Linked DNA regions of Kluyveromyces lactis. The protein of the gene in region 3 interacts with the protein of the main gene of each other region in a pairwise test. Links are inferred from orthologs where the notes say so. Each region holds a gene or a part of one and is shown on either strand. Other genes may lie near its edges.

Evidence for each region.
Region 1: the proteins of RSP5 (region 3) and KLLA0_A09757g interact in a two-hybrid assay, tested with the Saccharomyces cerevisiae proteins (2 studies listed by BioGRID). The link is inferred for Kluyveromyces lactis from reciprocal best matches to the Saccharomyces cerevisiae genes RSP5 and HUA1.
Region 2: the proteins of RSP5 (region 3) and PFK2 interact in binary tests that used the Saccharomyces cerevisiae proteins (3 or more experiments, as listed by UniProt). The link is inferred for Kluyveromyces lactis from reciprocal best matches to the Saccharomyces cerevisiae genes RSP5 and PFK2.

What each region holds. Positions count from the first base shown.
Region 1 is NC_006037.1:854,843-857,553, forward strand, and holds KLLA0_A09757g (uncharacterized protein), read right to left. Parts: upstream 1,158-2,711; coding exon 564-1,157; downstream 1-563. Other genes in the region: FOL2 (GTP cyclohydrolase I), read right to left, coding at 1-58; KLLA0_A09779g (uncharacterized protein), read right to left, coding at 1,711-2,166; GOT1 (Got1p), read left to right, coding at 2,637-2,664. UniProt on the Saccharomyces cerevisiae protein: May be involved in assembly and disassembly of the actin cytoskeleton.
Region 2 is NC_006042.1:607,168-611,542, reverse strand, and holds PFK2 (6-phosphofructokinase subunit beta), read right to left. Parts: upstream 2,864-4,375; coding exon 47-2,863; downstream 1-46. Other genes in the region: lactoylglutathione lyase GLO1, read right to left, coding at 3,550-4,375. UniProt on the Saccharomyces cerevisiae protein: Catalyzes the phosphorylation of D-fructose 6-phosphate to fructose 1,6-bisphosphate by ATP, the first committing step of glycolysis.
Region 3 is NC_006041.1:1,196,910-1,201,050, reverse strand, and holds RSP5 (NEDD4 family E3 ubiquitin-protein ligase), read right to left. Parts: upstream 2,919-4,141; coding exon 459-2,918; downstream 1-458. Other genes in the region: DSE1 (Dse1p), read left to right, coding at 3,865-4,141. UniProt on the Saccharomyces cerevisiae protein: E3 ubiquitin-protein ligase which accepts ubiquitin from an E2 ubiquitin-conjugating enzyme in the form of a thioester and then directly transfers the ubiquitin to targeted substrates.

The sequences.
Region 1 (2,711 bases), on a different chromosome or scaffold from region 3:
TCAAAGGAGTAGCACGTCTTTCAATCTGAGAGACGTGCGAGATATGTTTGTTTTCCATTATTGAATATAGCTAGCTGTATGGGTTACCTGATATGGGTTACTAATCCATGCAAAAGAAAGACCCTATAAATATGTGATACTGGTCAGACAACGGGACTTGTTGAGAGAAGCCGACAGAAGGAGACACGTACGCACAAACTAACACACAAAACGACAAACTTTCACTGAATTATCCAATCAGTTAAAGCTTGAAAGAGCCAACCCAAAATCGAAAACTTTACAATGGAACAAATGCATATGGTACGCTTTATACCTCTTGTTTCCTATAACTCGAACTCATCGAAATTTTTCACTTTTTGTCATACAAGGAAAAAAAGTAAAACTGTGGAAACACCGTACCATGAGAAGCAGCAATTAGACATGACTAGTTACTCTATCATGTGCTACCTCAGCCAGTACCCTGCTATTGAATGTTGTTAATGGACAAACATGAAATGAATAGAAATTAATTATGTACAATTTTACTTAAACAGTGTAGAGTTTGGGCGAATCAGATGATCAAACTAGTAGGTTGGTCCAGTAAGAATCCTGCCAAGACCGTAGCATACGGGACACGGTTCTTTATCCAAGAAGAATCGTACCCTACCAGTCCCATTGCAATTGTTACACATCATGCCTCCTATGCGACTGTCACCGGGACGCACAACGATAGGTGCTGAGTTTATGACGAAATTCTGTGGTGGCATCGTGACATTAGAGTATACGAACGCAGGTCTTGGCCCTGCACTTGGACGTGGTGGTTGTGCAGGTGGGGGTTTGTAGAATTTCGACCAACATTTCTTACATTTTTGTTGAGTCTTGATCTTGGTGCCAGTGTTCCCGCATTTTTTACAATAATATCCTGGAGGGTACGTCCAGGGTAGTTTCTTATTGCCAGTACTGGTACTGGTACTGCTTGAAAAGGTACTAGTGGAATGATGGTACGCTGGTATGGCATTGCTTGGCCGGGGCGGTCTTGCTGGTGGTTGTGTTGGACGTGGTGGAGGGTTTGGTGGGAGCTGCTGCTGCTGCTGCGAAGCAGCAGCAGTATCTTGTCTCAGCACTTCATCATACGACGGAAGATGCTCATCTGGCTGTATATCTGATTCTGATTTCATTGAAGTATTCTCAAAGTGACTGGTTCTCTGATCTCTGTTCTTTACTGATCCCGATCCCGTTCTCCATACACTTTTCTTTGACTAAATATATGTCCCTTATATATCTTGATCTTTTATATATACGTGATTTATTTGGCAGATGCACCTAAAATGAGGAAACCCTATAGCACGACGGCTGCAATGTGGACGAATCCCGATCCTAAACTGGGCTTTTAGCCATTGATAACTACTGGATGCAGCCAGTGAGTAACTGCGGACTTACAGACAAGGGTCCACTCTTGCCAATGCTCCTACTAATGGTTCTAATGGGCATCAAAGTCAAAGCCTTGATCAGTTCATGTTACCCGGACCATATATACAAATATCCGGGTAACAAACTCATATCTCTGCTCTGGCGATCTCATACTACTGACAAAGGAATCTGTCATCAATCAACAGACACCTGAGAGAGACAAGCAACTTCATATGGTTAGGAGTATCTGACTATGGGCGTTGCAATGCTAATATAAATTAAATTATTTACCTGGGTGTACATGTTATGTAGAATCTCTTCCTAATCCGTTGCATGGGCGGCATGGCTGGCATGGCTGGCATTGCTGACATGTTTACCCAAATGCTTTACTACAGCTACACCTAAGAGCACAACTGTGAGTATAAGACCACGTCTTGCTGGAAACTGCCTTCTATTGAATCTTGACCAACATGTTCTACACCTGCGTTGCGTCCTGGTCTCTACACCGGTGTTCCCGCACCTTCTACAGTAATACCATGGAGGATACGTCCAGGGAAGCTGGTCGATATCAGTACCGGTATTGCAGCTACTGGTAGTGGTGGAATTGGTGGCATTATTTGGTATATCATTGGACGCATCATTTGATTCGTCATTTGGTTCATCATTTGGTTCATCATTTGATGCCTCTTGATGCCGAGAAGCACCGGTAGACGAACCTTGTCCGACTGCTTCGTCATACGACGGAAGAATACCTGATTGTTTAACTGACGCTGCCATTATAGAATGTTGGGTCACGTGCCTAACAGCCAACGGCTCCTTCCAACCTTTCTTCCATGCATCTAGTTAGACATCTGGCTTATGCGTGTCTTATATATCCATGACTCGTCTAGCAGATGAGTGAACCATCATATCCACGCAATAACATGCAAATCCACGGCTCTAAGGTGGAAAAAGGAACCCTAAATGGTGTATAGTAATGGTGGCTTCAAGGGTATAAACCATTGGACTTAATAGCAACGGCCGGTAAATTTGCTGATTCAAAGCCTCGAACGATTTTCGTTACCCGGAAAACACAATGACCGGGTAACACTTCACGTCTTTTCAGTCCAGAAGCCCAATCGCGAAAAGCGATGGGCTTCTGGACGAGCGCAGTAAATATGTGCACATTAACGCATCAAGATAGGCACTGTTTGCCTCTCTATATATGCTCATAGTATTTGATATACACGCAACAATAGCACATAACAATGAGTAGTTGGCTATCGGAGTCACAGCGTATGTTAAACCATGTATGCGTTTACTATTATTTTTGGTTTCCCTTT
Region 2 (4,375 bases), on a different chromosome or scaffold from region 3:
CATCCATTTCAGTGGGAATTTTGAGGAAGCAGATACGTTTTTAATTTCATAGCTTTTTTCTTCCTACAAGATGGTCCGCAATGGTTCTAGTCGATTGCCAGTGAATAGTCTTTGGGGTTCTCTTGTTCAATTCAGTTTCAAAATCGTACAATTGTCTGATTGAACTAAAGACAATGTCAGATCCCTTAACACCTAAGACTGATGCAGTTGCTATGATCTTTGGTGTATCAAAGTCGAAGTCGTCATCATCCAGATTTGCCTCAGCTGCTAATACCTTGTGTTGAGACTCAATGAAACCAACAGCTCTGATGGCGAATCTAGTACCCCTTGTTCTATCAATTGGAGAAGGTAGACCACCTTGTTGGACATGACCTGGGATGGCACATTTGGCATCGAAGTGACCTTCAGCTTCTTGAGTAATGACCTCAGCCAACACTTCAGGAGTAAGCACCTTAGAGGCATTGGTGGACTTCAAGATAAGTTGTCCGAATTTACCTCTACCTTCAGCTTCGCTGAATGATTCCGTCAAGTTTTCAATATCTTGCGTTAGTTGCTCCAAACTTATACCTTCTTCTGGGACATAGGAAACTTGGGCACCCACAGCAACAGCGGCATGTGTGGCTAGATACCCAGAGTTACCACCTTGAACATCAACAACAAAAACTCTACCACGGGTTGATGCAGCAGATTGCTTGATAATATCACAGTATTGCATCAAAGAGTTCAGAGCGGTATCCGAACCGAGGGAGTACTCGGTACCCGGAACATTGTTGGATAAAGTGGCTGGAATCAAAACCATTGGGATTCTGAAGGCTGTATAGTTCTCTCTTGCTCTTTCCAATTGATGCAAGGAGACAAACGCTTCAAAACCACCGACAATGATGATACCATCGAATCCATACTTTTGGAAATAGTAAGCAATCAAACCGATATCAGCTTCTTCAGGAGTATGTCTGTTGGTACCGATTTCAGAACCACCGCGGGATTGCCATCCCAAAAGATCCTTCCAGTTTAGAGATCTCACGGATTCGTGTCTAGTTAACCCAGTCCAACCATTGTAAATTGCATATGGTTTGTGACCTTGAGACATACAGTACGTAGCCATCGAATAAACTGCAGAGTTCATACCACCAGCTGGGGCACCGACATTGACAATAGCAATCTTCATATGGGTGTGTTCTGGTAACTTAGGTTCGATATGGTCAGCAGAATTGATTGCCATGAAATTATCCAAATGCTCAACAAATTCCGAATCTCTCAATTGCATAGCCTTTTTGAAATCCTTGGAATGGATTGCTTCCGCAACAGATTTGGTTAGTTGAACTGATTCAACCAAAGGCTTACGAGTGATCTTGTTCTCATTGATAGCGATCAAAGGAGAAGGGGTATCTGGAGTTGATTCCAAAACTGCATTGACAGCTTCCACACCTTGCAATGTTGCAAGAATACGGTCATAAGCAACGGCTGTACCACCTCTCTGGACATGTCCTAGTGTAGTAATTCTACAATCTAGACCCAATCTGTCCACTAAGACTTTATGAACGTCCTTAGATGAGATAGGAGTTAAGTCTGCTGAAATGGCACCTTCAGCAACAATAACGATAGTTGTTCTCTTACCTCTTGACCTATGCTTTGAAATGATATCACACATTTGATCTTGCCATTCTCTTGATGATGCAGGTTTCTCTGGAATCAAGATGTAATCAGCTGATGTAGAGATACCAGCCAATAAAGCTAACCAACCACAATTTCTACCCATAACTTCCACCACAAAGGCTCTGGAATGGGAGTTAGCGGTGGCCTCAATGTAATCAATTGCTTGACAGATACGATCCAATGCCGAGTAGGCACCAATGGTAGCATCTGTAGTAGACATATCATTATCGATGGATCCAACAGTACCACAAATATTCAAGTGCTGGTACCTATCGAATTGAACTTTGTTAATTCTTCCTTGATCTAAGAGTTCACGAATCAAAGAAGGCCATTCAGATCTGAATAAATCAGCACCAGTGAGGGAACCGTCACCACCACACACGATCAAAGCGTCGACACCAGCTTCGATTAAGTGAAGAGCACCAAGTAACCTTCCCTCTCTCTCTCTAAATTCTTTACAACGAGCAGTACCAATGTTGGTACCACCTTCGCAAGACCAGTTACGTACTGTTTCCCAGTAAACCTGCTTGATATAATTTGGACCACCTTTTACAAGACCTTCGTAACCTTCCATGACTACGAAGGCATTACAACCCTTGAAAATAGCTGTTCTAACAATAGCTCTCACATTTGCGTTCATACCTGGCGCATCACCACCGGATGTCATAACGGCGATGGACTTTTGCGCTTTCGCAGTCTTTGGAATCGCTGGATACGAGCTGTCAGTGGAAACACCAGAAGAAGCAATGTCTATTCTTGAAGATCTTGAGGAGATCAAAGAGGCCTCAACAGATTGCTTAGGCAGCGTAGGTTTGATAGAAATAGCATTTTTCGTTTCAGTGATACCAATGATATATCCGTTTGGATCCTTCAAATATATTTCAATTGGGTTGGTTTCGTTAGGATAGGCCTGAATCGTTTCACCAGCAGCCAAATCTCTGAAATGTTGGATATTTGTACATGAAAAAACCAATGCTGATGACACAATGGCCCTCCAATCTTTATCGTTAACAACATCCAATGGCTTGAAGCTGTTATCAACAACTAGCTTTAGAGTGATTAAAGAATTTGTCAATGTGCCAACTCGCTTGTCATGAACTAATTGCAAATACTTTTCGTAAAACTTGACTGTCTTATCATACAACCCTTGAGTCGTAACTAATTTGTACGCTTCCGTACCGTTCAACAATGGCAAAGATTGTGTCATTGCAGTTTATTATTACTTGTATCAATATTTTCCTTTTTGTAATCGTTTGATTCTCGCTTAAAAGTTTGAAAACGTGCAGAGACCTAAATATACGTCTTTATCAACTTGATCCTCTTGCAAATTCTTCTGCTAACCTTGTTACGAGGAAACTGGTTACAAGTTTCGCTATACGCAGATTATTACTGATTAATGCAGTAACTTGTTTACTGGTTTGCAAGTCAGTAGAAGCAGAAGCACGAATCAGAAATTATTCCTCTGTCCAAGCTTACAAAGTAGTTTTCATTTATACTAAATAGTCAAAAGTTCAATATCCTTTTCCCTTCCTTTAATGTGGATTGCATGATGATGGGTTTCGTGAGCATGTAGGATCACGAGCTTCCACTTTTCGGAGCACCACCAAAATTGGAATCCGGAAAATAACGAACCACTTATCTTACAGGAATCTCTGAAGTTAGTGGATGCTGCATGTTTGCTGCGTAATGAAAAATTAAAAAAAAAAAAATGTGAAGAGTTATATTAATCTCAGTCACGTGCTTTCATGTCACTTCAAAAGGATATCTTTATCAGTATTACCGGCAGTTATGGCTGTAATATGGCGATTGAACGGTGTCATATCGAATATTGTATACAACGATACATAAATTTGCATTTACATTTCAAATAAATAGATGAGAGTTTGGTGCTCTTCAAACGCCCAATCCGTATGGGACGACTTCGATGGAGTATCCATCAGGGTCCTTGATGAAGGCGAGATTCTTCATTTTACCTTGATTGAACTTTGGAGACCATTGGATATCTGGGTATAGTTTCTCAATTTCTGCGCACAACGTAGCTGGATCCTTGTTTGAGATGCAGATGTGGCCGTACCCCTGTGGTTCAGTATTACCGGTGTGATAAGCGAAATCTGGATCATTTTCTGTCCCCCAGTTATGTGTCAACTCCAAGATACTTTCTCTTGAACCACGAGCAATTCCTTTTTGATCATTTTCGTAGCCTAAGAAGTATAGCGTGAATTTAGCATTTGAATGGTCACTAACGTCAAGGATTTTCATTCCTAGGACGTTTTGATAGAATTCAAGGGATTTGATTGGATCCTTGACTCTTACCATGGTATGGTTGAACTTGTAGTTGTTCCCCTCTCCAGATTCGTTGTTTTGAATCAATTCAATCCAGTACCCATTAGGATCTAATGCGAAAGCAATATTCCTTTGGCTACCGTCTGTCAATCTCTTCTTGAACTTGACGCCATTGGATTCCAATCTTTCACATTCAGCTTCTAGGTTAGAGACACTGAAGCAAATATGACCAAACCCACGGTGTGGTTCTTCATTACCGTTGTTCACCTTGTATGCTGGATCAGATTCAGTACCATAATTGTGGGTCAATTCCAAAATACCGTTTTCTCTAAAGACGTCAATGGCACCTTGAGAGTTGTTCGAAAACTGCTTATTAGGGAATGATAAGAAGTATAAATCAAACTTCATGTCAGGGAATTTCTTGTGATCTAATAGC
Region 3 (4,141 bases):
TTAAATTATTTTATTATAAGCTTTACCCTGTCCTCTATCATAATTATCATATATATAATTACAACTTAACCCTTTTCATTTAAGAACCCGGTCTTAATACTATCAACTCCATGCAGCTAATTTTCGTTATTATCCCAAAATTTAAGCTGGATATATCAATCTCTGGGCAATTACAAAACTCCGTCGGTTAGGAACCAGATACTTCGTTGTCAATTGCTTCCCACATTATAGCATACCTATATAAAGTAACACCTGATAATGGCAATAAAATATAACAAAGCACCATAAGTTGAGGCCTAACGAGGTTAAGAAAAAAATTTCTATGTAATAATATACACATGTTTTGGCAACAATATATCTATAACATATATATGTCTGTGCTTGTGTTTGTGCTTGCGCTTTCTGATTGAATAATTGAGAAGGTGCAGGGTATTGAAAAGATTGAAAGATTCATTCAACTACTCTTGTCCAAATCCGATGGTTTCTTCCACTGCTAATGTTAGCTTCTGCTTGAAAGATTCATAATCAGTGTATGGTGGAAGATCCACTCTGTTGAAACAAGTGTGTGACTTGGGTAGTTGTTGAACTTCACCTGCTTTTTCGATAGTGAATCTTCTTGGACCATCAGAACCTTGCAAATCTTTGAATCCATTGACCGGGATACGCGATGTACCAGTTGTGAATTGTAACAAACGTGCTCTTTGCTCGTTGTCCCATTCAGTGATACATTTCCAGAACCACTGGATAACTTCGTCAGACTCTTGGTATCCACGATAATCTGTGTGTTTTTTCCAGTCTTCAACATCAATTTCTGCAATACCACCAATCAATAATTCAAGTTCACGTTCATCAAACACGTTGACTAGATCTTCAGGAACCAATTCGTTAAATCCATCCATAAATGCCTTAAATTGTTCTTGAACTCTGTCTGCGATCCTCCATTGGGTATATAGTTCAACATATTCTTTCTTGTTTTCATCTGTGACTTCGATTTCTCTGCCGTTTGGTTTCAAATCGACGACAACCAGTTCACCAAATCTTTCATCATCAACATTAAATGTTAGATCTAAAATGCCATCTATGCTATTTTCTAAAATCCATTTCAAGGAGTTGTAGACTTCTGAATCGACACCTTCCATATCTTGTAATACTACCTTCTTTCTTAGCATCATCTTATATAGAGCACCAACGAAGAATGCATCCAAGAACCTTCTATGGAATACACCTAAACCGACGACTCTACCAATGAACTTGAAGTAGTTCAAATGCTCAGGGTTGATACCACTGTTTGGATTGATTTGGATAGTATAGTTATCATGGGCAGAATATTCAAATAGACAGTAGAAGGGATTAAACATCTCGTGTGATAGTAAAAAGAAGAATTCTCTTGAAACACCACCATAATCTAAACCTTCTTCACCGTCAAATTTGATCATTAGTCTCTTCTTTAAGTCTTCTGGCGTTTGTCTCATTATTTCTTGGTAAGAATCTTCGAAGATATTCTTTCTGCGTACTCTGATGTGACATTGACCTGGTAGAATTCTTAAAGCCGGTTGGGATCTGAAGTAAATAACCTTACGTCTGAAGTCACGCTTATACTGTGGAACGTTTTGATCCAAGGAAGAAGGTAATCTAGGATCATCCCAAGTGGTGGTCTTAGTGTTATGGTCAACGAAGTATACACGGGCTGTGTTTGTCAATCTCATCTCCCAACCAGAAGGCAAAGGTCCTAACTGAGATACAGGTTGTTGTTGTATGGTATTTGTGGAAGGCCCATAGGTTCTAATATATTGTTGTCTTCTTGGATCGACCCATGTCGTGGTTCTTGTGTTGTGATCAACGAAGTACGCTCTTCCTTCAGGAGTGAACCGTTGTTCCCAACCTGGTGGAAGTTCACCCAACCCCGATGTGGTACCCCCAGTGGCAGCAAAAGTAGCAGCTGCTGAACCGTTTACGGCAGGAGTTTGAGATCCAGTACCGGTATGAACAGCAACGTTTGATGAAGACGAGCCCTCTGATTGAGCACCACCATCAGGTAAAGTTCTTCCTCTGTGTTGTCTACGTTCTAGTTCGGTGTTGACACGTTGAACCTCGGATTGATCCAAAGTGGGTCTTTTCCATGTTGTTGTCCTTGTATTATGATCCACATAATATGTTCTTCCAAAGTTATCCGTTCTTCTTTCCCATCCTGGGGGTAAACGACCATATTGATCTTCAAACGATGAGTATTGCCTGCTAGCTGACGATTGAGATTGAGCTGTCGAAGGTTGACCGGATGGAGCAGCATCACTTGAACCGGCACCTGAACCTGAACTGGCGGTACCTGCAGCATTCGCAGAATCCTGGTTGTCTAATGTAGTAGTTTGCAAGTTGTTAGCAACAGTCTGAGCAATCAATCTGTTGTCGATAGTGGAAGCGTTCGTCATCGAATCCGATTGACGAGCTGCTCCGGAACCAGCAACAGCACTACCTGCGGCACCAGCAGCTCCATTACGGCTGCCAGCTCTGGGGAGAACCGTCAAAACCAATATTATTCTACCACTTACTGACAACCCGTCGTTAGAACGTTTTAAATCTCTAGTAATAGTCTCTTCACGAGCTCTACCGTTCGAAGTGGCAGTATCTTCGTCCAAGTGACCCAGAATGTCACCAATACGAACGTTGACAACACCTAGGAACCCTTGATCTTTCTTCTTGAACTTTTTCTGATCAAACACTTGAACAGTTAAGATCGAATTTTCACTCACATTTTTGAATTGAAATACTTCATTCCAGTAGGGATTCAACGTCTTCTTTGCAGCCGCTGTGGATTTCGTCTGAGAACCATCGATAGTCAAAACTGCAAACGGATCAGGAGATCTAAACACATCCCTCCTGTTCAATGACTCAGCAGCCACTAGTTTCACAGAGATAGACATATTTCGCAGCTTTTTATTTTTTTAATGGTTTGTCAATTTCAAATCCGATAATTTCTCCTTCAAAGTGGAATCTCAATAACAAATTGAAAAGTCTTCAAACACTAGATATCTGATAAGTGGTAGTAACAGCAATAATTATTAAACAAATAAAACCGCCCGAGAAAGCCTATAAGGTTTTATTTTTTGTCTTTTGTCTTCTTTAATTGTCGTAATTGCAAAGAAACAGAACAGGAAACAGAACCAGAAAAAAAGTTGATGATTCCTCTAAAAAGAAGCAAAGAAAAATCAGATCAATACCTTGCTCAATACCCTTTTCCGTACCGTCCTTTTTGCCACTGTCAATGCACGTTTGCTTATCCTCTAGCACCTTGATCTGATGATTAAATCGGATGTTGTTTGCAAGTAAAGTATCTTTGTTCTTGTTTTGTTTCCTTAATTAAAATATGCAAATCACAATTTTCTTTTCTCCTTTACTTGTCACGTGAGGAGATTGAAACCTGGAAAAAGAGTACTAAAGAGGGATACCAGGCTACGCCGAGTATGTCAGTAAATTCGGAAACGGCATTAATGGCGGTGGTAGCCACCAGGTTGCAAGAATCTGCCGTATTGCTGTCAGATGACGTGCATATGGGACGATTATGGGCATCACGTGACAAAAATCATATCGTCCAAAATGACATAAATATAAACAAGCCTTTGCCAGCTTTAAAGATGCTGGGTTTGTTTACAGGTAAACAAACCTCTTGCAAACATAAACAGGATGTTTGCTCATATGGCTGCCTAACACACTCAATAGGTAACGTGCCTTTCTCTAATTTTTGTTGCTTGTTCTGCGTTTGGTCCTATTTTTGATTGGCTCAGTGTTTGCTAGTGCTATTTTTATTTGCCCTGTATCATATATAAACATGTCGTTTCTAAAAGTGACCAGCTCTTACTCCTCTAATGGATGTACCTGTTAACAATCAATTATTCTCTGCAGTGCAAACATTACACAAAGTCAAATAAGAAACTGTATATTGCGAAAATTATGACTGAATTCTACAGGGCTCCAGAGATATTCAGACAGAACGCCATCATCGTCAAGAAGAGTAGAAGAGATATTAGCGATGACGAGAACAGTACTATTGTCAGGCGGAATTGCAAGATAGAGGCTTCGAAATTGAACAGTTCCTTGCTAAGGAAGGTTAGTGGTGATTTGAACGATGTCATTGTCACGAAAAAAT